Macaca mulatta: one gene and its partner. The protein of the gene in region 1 purifies or fractionates together with the protein of each later gene. This does not show direct contact. Links are inferred from orthologs where the notes say so. Each region holds a gene or a part of one and is shown in the gene's direction. Other genes may lie near its edges.

Region 1 (4,516 bases):
GTGCTCTTACTGTAAGGTGCCAAGGAAAACTGATTTAAGTCACAGCCCTTGTTTACGGGGCACCGTTTCTTGTTTTTGCACTGAATCAAGTCTAACCCCAACAGCCACATCCTCCTCCTATACCCAGACATCTCGTCTCAGGAAGTGGTGGTGGGGGTAGTCAGAAGGAAAAATAACTGGACATCTTTGTGTAAACCATAATCCACATGTGCTGTATATGATCTTCACTCCTTATCCCCAAGATCCCCTTTTAGAAGCCCTTCTCATCTAGCAGTGAGAAGCTTCCAGGTAGGACAGAAAGAAGATCCAGCTTCAGCTTCACACCTCTGTCCCCTTGGATGGGGAACTGAGGGAAAATGTCTGTTGTATCACTGAAGTTTTTTGTTTTGTTTTTATACATGTCTGAATAAAAATGCCAAAGTTTTTTTCAGCTTCCTGTCTGTCAAGTGAAAACATTTCGTATAAGAGATCTGCTCCTCAGCAGTGGATAGTCACCTTTCTGTCTTCTGACAGTGCTACTCTGTCCCATGTAGATTTCTCTAGTCCTACTATTACTTGGTATTTCTTTAGAACAAGCATAGCGCATAGTCCTTTTCATTAAGGGTTTTAGTAGAAATCTACAAGGCAACCAATTGGGAATAACAAAAAGAACCCACGTGCTTGAAGATTTATAAAAAGCCCTATACGTGTCCAGTCTCCTTCAGAGGCCAAATACTGAAACCTCCAGATGCTTCTGAATTCATTATCTTAGAAAAGTCACCAAATCTTTTTATTTTTTCACGGTAAGAACTCTCAACAAACATGTCTTTCTGAACACTTCCCTTAGGTGCCCCATCCAGGTGCCTGTTATTGGAACAATAATGTCATGTTACTTCATTAGGAGTCCGGCCTCTAGATTACGAGGCCTTTAAATGGATGATCCCTCCGGTGTCCGGCTGCGCAGCTGGCCCCCGTTCCCAGCACCCTTGGTCTTCTTCCACCTGTCTGCCCCTCCCTGTTCTCCCAGCTTCGGAGGACGACTGAACCGGCTGGGCGGGTTTCGCCAGCCGACCCAAGTATCCGAGGAAGGGCGCACCCAGCCTCCCCGCCCTAGGTGCAGACACTGCCCACCCGCCGCGGCTCCACTCTACTCCACCCCTGCTCGCTCGACTCTAAACCTATTTCCCCGCCGTAGCTCCGCCCCTCTTCCCTCAGCCCGCCCCTCTGTTACTGGCTTTCGCACAGCGTTCTCGGTGGAAGTGGTTTTTCCGGGAGAGACCACGCTTCCCCTCAAGCTCCCCAACGGCTCCGCCTTCCCGCCGGAGCCTGACCCTTCCCAGCGTGCCCGGCGATTCCGGCGTGCGAGGCCCTTGGAGGGCAAGGCCCCAGGGCCTGGCTTAGGAGCGTGAGCGGCAGGCTGGGAATTGTAGTTCGAAAGCCCTCGAGGGCGGCTAAAGGCTGGCGGTGGAGAGGACTAGTTTTCCCAGCGTGCCCTGCGCCTCAGCCCGCGCGCTCACAGCTTCTCGCTCTCGCCTGCCTGCCTGCTCCCTTGCTTGCTCGCGCTTTCGCTCGCCCTCTCCTCGAGGATCGAGGGGACTCTGGCCACAGCCTGTGGCTGGGAAGGGAGACAGAGGCGGCGGCGGCTCAGGGGAAACGAGGCTGCAGTGGTGGTAGTAGGAAGATGTCGGGCGAGGACGAGCAGCAGGAGCAAACTATCGCCGAGGACCTGGTCGTGACCAAGTATAAGATGGGGGGCGACATCGCCAACAGTGAGTGCGACCTCGGGGGTCGGGGAATCAAGGCTGACAGGGAAAGGTGCCAGGCTGGCCCTGAAGGGGCTGGAGCGGAGGGGTCATGCGAACTGAGCTACTGAGGGGCCCGCACCAGTCCGCTGGGGGCGGCGTGGTGGGAAGACCCGGTGTCGCTCCTGGGACCTGAGCGGCCAGGCCCAGGCTGAAGTCTATGGAGGTGCGGGTCGGCGACCGGGATGAGCGGAGAGAGGGTAACCTGGCAGGCTCCGACCCGAGGCCGTTTGTTAGGAGGCAAGACGTGTTTTCTCTTGTTCCTATCCTTCATTCCCGATTTCTGCTTCCTCTGATTCTGGCAACGGCGAGGCCACCTCGAAAAGGAAGCGCCCAGCTATTGGCGACAGAAGCGCCCCTCTGTTTTTGTCGCGTCTGCGGGGCGTCAGGAGCCGAGCCGGCACGTGTTGCTGGGTCCCCTTGCGGATGGCTGGCCCCCTTCTTCCTCCAGTACTGTCCCTGACACCAGCTTCCCCACCACGTGCTTTGCTGGAGCCTTTCCTTCTTCAGCTCTTACCCTGGTGGGGGCCCCCTTCTACCCTTGGGCCAGCTAAGGGGACCGTTGGAGAGCACTCCTGGAGCTTCTAACACAAGTTTTGGAGATATATATGGCTTTTCTTGAAGTTACTCATTATTACTACCTTTCCAATCTGTGCAGATAGCCTTAGTTAGCATTCACATTTGTTGTTCAAAGTGACTTGACAACTCAAATGTTTTGGGGTCTCCGTCTTATCCCAACTAGGCAAGCTTGCGAACATTACTGGAAAAGGGAGGACTGATTTTAGGATTTTCACAAGTCATCCTTATTCCAGCTGTGCTCTGAGGATCTCAGCAGTTGCCTGCCACTCTAGGCGATGTCACTTTCTCTTTTCTCTCTTTCTAGTTAGCCTTTCCATTTTATTTAAAACCCAGTTAGGGAGATACAAACTGCTTGTCATTGTGTTTTTAAATGGTTTTAACAGCAAAGATGGTGGGAAAGAGGTATTTAGGATGCCTCCCATCCTGTGGGTGAAAATCTGAGTTTTACCCGCTTTCAAAGAATCACCAAAACTGAGATTTCAAAACTCAAACCTGTGCTTTATATCACAGTGGACATTTAGTATAGTACCCTGGTTTTGGTGCCTTTTAGTATTTGAGATACTAGGGATTTGAATCAGAAAATCCCTTTCTTACAGTTTATAACTTTGGCCTCATATTTCTTTGAGATAAGCCATGATCCCCCAAAATGAAACCCAGGGACCTTAGATTAAGTCCCCTTGGCTTATACACTTGTTTATGAGGAATTAAGTCTACATAGATTGAGATTCCTAACACCTAATTAGAGTGTCTGAGAAAGGAAGGCGGTAACATTTAACAGTGCTTCAGCTTCGAGTCAGCAATTCTGTCTACATTCCTGTCCCTGATGCCTATAAATTTCATCTAGTCTTTCCATGTATGTGGGGATACCATGGCAAGAACTCTCTGAAGTTCATAACTCTGTCCTGTCACACCAAAGGTAGCATCTTTGGAAAGTCCGAGGCCTTGCCTAAGGAGATGGATTGCATATACCCAGTTGTCACATAATGTAAGGAAGAGAAGGGAATGTTGACCTTTCAGCCTCAGGGCAATGGCACTAGGGAGCATTAGAAACTCTTAAGTTCAACTTCCAGGTATTCCTTGGGAGGTAACTAGACAATGAATACATACAAGGCTGACATGATGGGATTCTGTCCTCAGGGGTACTTCGGTCCTTGGTGGAAGCATCTAGCTCGGGTGTGTCGGTACTGAGCCTGTGTGAGAAAGGTGATGCCATGATTATGGAAGAAACAGGGAAAATCTTCAAGAAAGAAAAGGAAATGAAGAAAGGTAAAAAAAAAAAAAAAAAATCCCTCACTAATTTCCTGTTTGACCCTTATTTGGTCCTATATGTTTTTATTTTTTTCACTGTAATGATGCAGTCCCCACCCTGGCTCTGGCTGAGATATTTGGAAATTTGGAATGACAAGTGGGATATAAGCAGTTTCCTACCTAATACAAACTGATGAAACTTAAGCAAGACCCTGAAAAAATCCTTCCACTCTTCTGAAGGGCACTAGGGCTTCTGGGAGACAGCAAGGCAGTAGGCTGATGATTTTTTCTTTACAGGTATTGCTTTTCCCACCAGCATTTCGGTAAATAACTGTGTATGTCACTTCTCCCCTTTGAAGAGCGACCAGGATTATATTCTCAAGGAAGGTGACTTGGTAAAAATGTAAGGTTAAACCGTTTTAAAGCATTTTTCTTTTTTTAAAGCATTTACAAAATGCCGGTTCCTAATGCAGTACACTCTGATCTTGCCTTTCAGTGACCTTGGGGTCCATGTGGATGGCTTCATCGCTAATGTAGCACATACTTTTGTGGTTGGTGTAGCTCAGGTAGGTGGCCTGCTTTTGATCTCTGTTCAGCCTTGGGGGTGTAGGGAATGCACCGCTATTTCCTTCTTATTCCCACCCCCAATCACCACGCAGGTCAAGAGAGTGTCTAGAGAAGCAAAAGGAGGAAGGCTTTTTGTTGTTGTTGTTGTTGTTGTTGTTGTTGTTGCTGTTTTTACCCTCCTGTTCATTGGCTGGCCTTCGCATATGGGTTCACAGATATTAACCAGATAGCCAGCTGAGTTAACAAACTTTCCAGGAAGATACTGATTGCATGTCCTTATCTACAGGGGACCCAAGTAACAGGGAGGAAAGCAGATGTTATTAAGGCAGCTCACCTTTGTG
Region 2 (4,384 bases), on another chromosome or scaffold:
TCCCGAGTAGCCGGGGGCTCCAGGCGAGTGCCACTACACCCGCTAATTATTATTTTTTTTGTAGAGACAGGGTCGCATTATATTACCCAGGCCAGTCTCAAGTTCCTGGACTCAAGCGATCCTCCTGCATCAGCCTCCCAAAGTACTGGGATTACAGGCATAAGCCATCGCGCCTGGCCTTAACAAACACTTTTCTTTCTTTCTGAGACGGAGTCTCGCTCTGTCGCCCAGGCTGGAGTGCAGTGGCGCGATGTCGGCTCACTGCAATCCCCGACTCCCCGGTTCATGCGCCTCGGTCTCCCAAAGTGCTGGGACTGCGGGCCTGAGCCACCGCGCCCCGCCTGAGGTGATTTTTAACAAGTACCGCCGTAGCTGCAGGTATCCTGGTTCTGTAGGAACAATGAGGTATGGATGGATCCATACCTGGACCCATGGATTGGATGGATCCCAGGCAGGCCCTGGACGGAGGGAAATGCTCTGGTTTGCTAAGCCCGGCATCGAGGGAGGCCCACCCTCAAAGCTAACCGTGGAAGTCACTCCGGCCTCCTTCGCCCTGCCGCCGGGGAACCCTGCCGGTGGCTCTCGACCTGCTCCCGAGCCATCTGGTGACACTGACTTAGCAGCCACCACCTTAATTGGCGCATTCGACGCAAATAACAACCAGGGAACCTGTGGGCGGTCAAAGGCCCGGCTTTGCGGTCGGCCCGCCCAGGCCCCTCTCCTTGCCCTGTGAGGCCAGAAAGTTACTTCTCCGAGGCCGTTCCCCATGACGAGAAATATCTCCCGCCTGAGGTTCTGTGGGGTAGGGGAGGTTCGTGCATTTCTCACAGAAAAACCTCGCACAGACCCGCGACTGCCTTTAACGGCTCTCAGAAGACTGCCTGCAGCCGGGGGTGTCTCCAGTCCCATGCTCGCGGGCAAGCAGGGCTGAGCTGTGCCTCCGAAAGGGCCAACGGGAACTCCGCGGTCCCTGAACTTCCGGGGCTGGCGGGCTTCTTTCTCCAGGGCCACCGGGAGCGCCGGCGTGAGTGCGTGCCGGGGCCGCGCGCGGGGTCTTTGAGGAACTCCAAGGCTGCCCGAGCCTAGGGAGCCAGCCACATTGGAGATCCCTAGACCGCCCGATTCCACCACCCCCGAAGTCCCCTCACAGCCGGCGCCAAAAACGCCAGTCCCACGGCGCAGGCCGGGACCCGCGCGCCCACGGCCCAATCAGCGCCGGCCTTGCACAAAGCGAGCCCCGCCCCGACGGCACGGCTGCCAGCCCCTCCCCCTCCCGTGGCCGCCTCGGCCCGCCCACTCCCCGCCCCGCGCCGTTCTCGGTTAGAGGCTCGCGATTGGCTCAGGGGGACTGCCGCGAGCTCTGGTTGGTCGGCACGGAGTCACGAGGGCGCCGTCGTCGCCTTTCCACAGGCGATTACTGGGCAGGCTCAGTCTTTCGCCTCAGTCTCGAGCTCTCGCTGGCCTTCGAGTGTACGTGCTCCGGGATCTTCAGCACCCGCGGCCGCCATCGCCGTCGCTTGCCTTCCTCTGGACTCATCTGCGCCACTTCTCCGCTCCACACTCCGCCGCCATAAGCCGCCATCATGGTGAAGCTCGCGAAGGTAAACGGCCTTGAGCGCGAGCGCAGACGTCTAGGCCTGCTCTCCGAGGGGCGAGCGCGGCGGCGCGGGGAGGAGGGCCTGCGCGCAGTCCCGGGCGCGTTCTAGGGCGCCATGCTGCGGGAAGTCTCGCGCGATTAGTGGGGAGGTCTCGCGGCTTCTGGCTAGTTGGTGGCGAGGTGAAGAGCTTCTGCAGGTGCTGGGGGCGGCGAACGCGGCGGGAAAGACGGAGTCACTGAGCGCGGGGAGGGGGCGCTGGGCCCCGGGGTGGGGAGATGAGACCAAACTCCTGCGACGCATACGAGTCGGGACCCGACTCCTGACGCACGTGCCCGGGAGCGCGGCCTGCCACGTGGGCCGCGCCGCGTAGGTCCTGGAATCTCCAGAGGCACCGGTGCCTTGCGCCAGGAAATGGCGGTATCGGCCCTAGTCGGAGTCCTGGCCTGGCAAGCCGACACGTGGTGGGCCCCGGAAGGTGGCTCTGCCGCGTGCCTTTTGCGCCGTGTTTCGGGCACGTGGTGGCCTACCAGGTACCCCCACGTGGCCGCGCCGCCTCTTTAAGGGGCGGGGTTGTCTTGCTGGGAAAAGCATAATGTTCATGAGAAAACCAAGGTAGTTACTTCTTACCTTCGGGCGGGTTTTCTGTTTGTGAAGCCCGGGAGGAAAATTGTGGGCGGTTGAGAGTAGTCCATCTTGCATTGCCATCAGGACTCGTTTTGATGTTGTGCTGTTTGGCACTATGAGAAATGGATCTGAGAAAGGAGAGATGATGGCGTTTTACTATGAACAGTAATGGCAAAATATGAATGGCCTGAAATGTTGAGGTGGAGGTGTAATGACCTACTTGTGTCCATTTTAGGCAGGTAAAAATCAAGGTGACCCCAAGAAAATGGCTCCTCCTCCAAAGGAGGTAGAAGAAGATAGTGAAGATGAAGAAATGTCAGAAGATGAAGAAGATGATAGCAGTGGAGAAGAGGTAATTTTATCTAGCTTAATGCAGAATTGTGTTAAAACTACAACAATGGAGAGTTAAGACATGAAATTGGATGTCTGTGGCTAAAATAAGATTTTATTCATCCAGGTATGTCCTATTGTAGTGGTGGTTTCACAAGCTCTTCACTGACATGTCAAGGTGTCATTTGGCTAAGTATTTGAATGTGAGTTTGAGACAAGAGGTCTGGGGATCTCCTTTCCATGTGCCTCTGCAGGGCAAGGAGTGTGATTTGTTGTGTTAAATCATTAAATTTTTCCAGTTTCAACATGTTAGCCTCACCCCGACATGTAGAGCTGGGCATTGTATTCAGATCTGAGGATAACCTTCCCAGATTCCTTTCCTAGCCTCCAATTAAGATTAATTGGTCTCCATTCCATTATATATAAACTTTGTAATTCTACTCACTGCGTTATAGTTATCTTTGGTGTAGACTGAGGGCTGCCACCTCTTTGTGTTAACATTGACCCTCTTTACTCTTTGGCAGTCTTGGCCTTTTATTTGCTCACTGTAAAGACATCTGAGCACTGAATTGTGCTCAGGTTTTTCGTTGAGAATTGAATAAAAGTTTTATTCTTCCACACATTGCCTAATAAAACTATGGGATTTTCATGTAGCTAAACGATGGCTTTTATCAAACTAACATGCTCACTCTTTGATGTGTGATAGTTTTGTAAGGGATAGTTAGGTTTAGCCTATTTGATCTTCATTTTATCTCAGGTCCCAAGAATTGAGCTTCACTGGACTCAGTACTGCCATCCACCATAGGAGCCCCAAATGATTTAATACGTTAATGCTTGGAGCCTCCTAGGTGTAAGGTTCTGAATAATTTACGCATAGCACTTCATTATTGTTATACGTGTAATATGATACTATTACCATTTTCAGATGAGAAAGTTGGGGTTTGGGAAAATATGAGGTGCAAGAATTCAGAGGTCTGGTTCAGAGGTATTTTAAGTGTTCAAAAGGGTTCCTTATGGCTGGGTATTCACCTGATAATAAGGGCTCTGACCTAAGACAACATAACAGAAGCCTGGAGTTTAACATGCTAACATGTGTCTAGCGCATGTGGTCTTGAACCAGAAGCATTGGCAGAATCTAACACTCACTGGGACCATGGTTATCTTTTTGGGTGTGGGGCTGGACTTACTGGTTTGGTTTTCATTTATTCTCAAGGTTGTCATACCTCAGAAGAAAGGCAAGAAGGCTGCTGCAACCTCAGCAAAGAAGGTGGTAGTTTCCCCAACAAAAAAGGTTGCAGTTGCCACACCAGCCAAGAAAGCAGCTGTCACTCCAGGCAAAAAGGCAGCAGCAACACCTGCCAAGAAGACAGTTACACCAGCCAAAGCAGTTGCCACACCTGGCAAGAAGGGAGCCACACCAGGCAAAGCATTGGTAGCAACCCCTGGTAAGAAGGGTGCTGCCATCCCAGCCAAGGGGGCAAAGAATGGTAAGAATGCCAAGAAGGAAGACAGTGATGAAGAGGAGGAGGATGACAGTGAGGAAGATGATGAGGATGATGAGGACGAAGATGAGGATGAAGATGAAATTGAACCAGCAGTGATGAAAGCAGCAGCTGCTGCCCCTGCCTCAGAGGATGAGGATGATGAGGATGATGAAGATGATGAGGATGAGGATGATGACGATGAGGAAGATGGTAAGGAGTTGTCTTGGTAGTTACTGGGCTTCTGATTGCAAGATATCTTGAGATTCTGGGATCAACATATTCCACAACAACCTGGAGATGAGAGTAGAGTCCTTGTGGGAATTCTCTGGGCTGTTGTGTGTTAGACTT

The links.
Region 2: the proteins of PA2G4 (region 1) and NCL purify together in Homo sapiens (affinity purification with mass spectrometry; 3 studies listed by BioGRID and IntAct, with this or other methods). This does not show direct contact. The link is inferred for Macaca mulatta from reciprocal best matches to the Homo sapiens genes PA2G4 and NCL.

The regions. Positions count from the first base shown.
Region 1 is NC_133416.1:63,253,146-63,257,661, forward strand, and holds the start of PA2G4 (proliferation-associated protein 2G4), read left to right. Parts: upstream 1-1,464; 5' UTR 1,465-1,660; coding exon 1,661-1,748; intron 1,749-3,497; coding exon 3,498-3,626; intron 3,627-3,905; coding exon 3,906-4,011; intron 4,012-4,104; coding exon 4,105-4,174; intron 4,175-4,461; coding exon 4,462-4,516. UniProt on the Homo sapiens protein: May play a role in a ERBB3-regulated signal transduction pathway. Seems be involved in growth regulation. Acts a corepressor of the androgen receptor (AR) and is regulated by the ERBB3 ligand neuregulin-1/heregulin (HRG).
Region 2 is NC_133417.1:136,720,057-136,724,440, reverse strand, and holds the start of NCL (nucleolin), read left to right. Parts: upstream 1-1,442; 5' UTR 1,443-1,583; coding exon 1,584-1,601; exon of another isoform or gene 1,602-1,794; intron 1,795-2,457; coding exon 2,458-2,574; intron 2,575-3,765; coding exon 3,766-4,246; intron 4,247-4,384. UniProt on the Homo sapiens protein: Nucleolin is the major nucleolar protein of growing eukaryotic cells. It is found associated with intranucleolar chromatin and pre-ribosomal particles. It induces chromatin decondensation by binding to histone H1.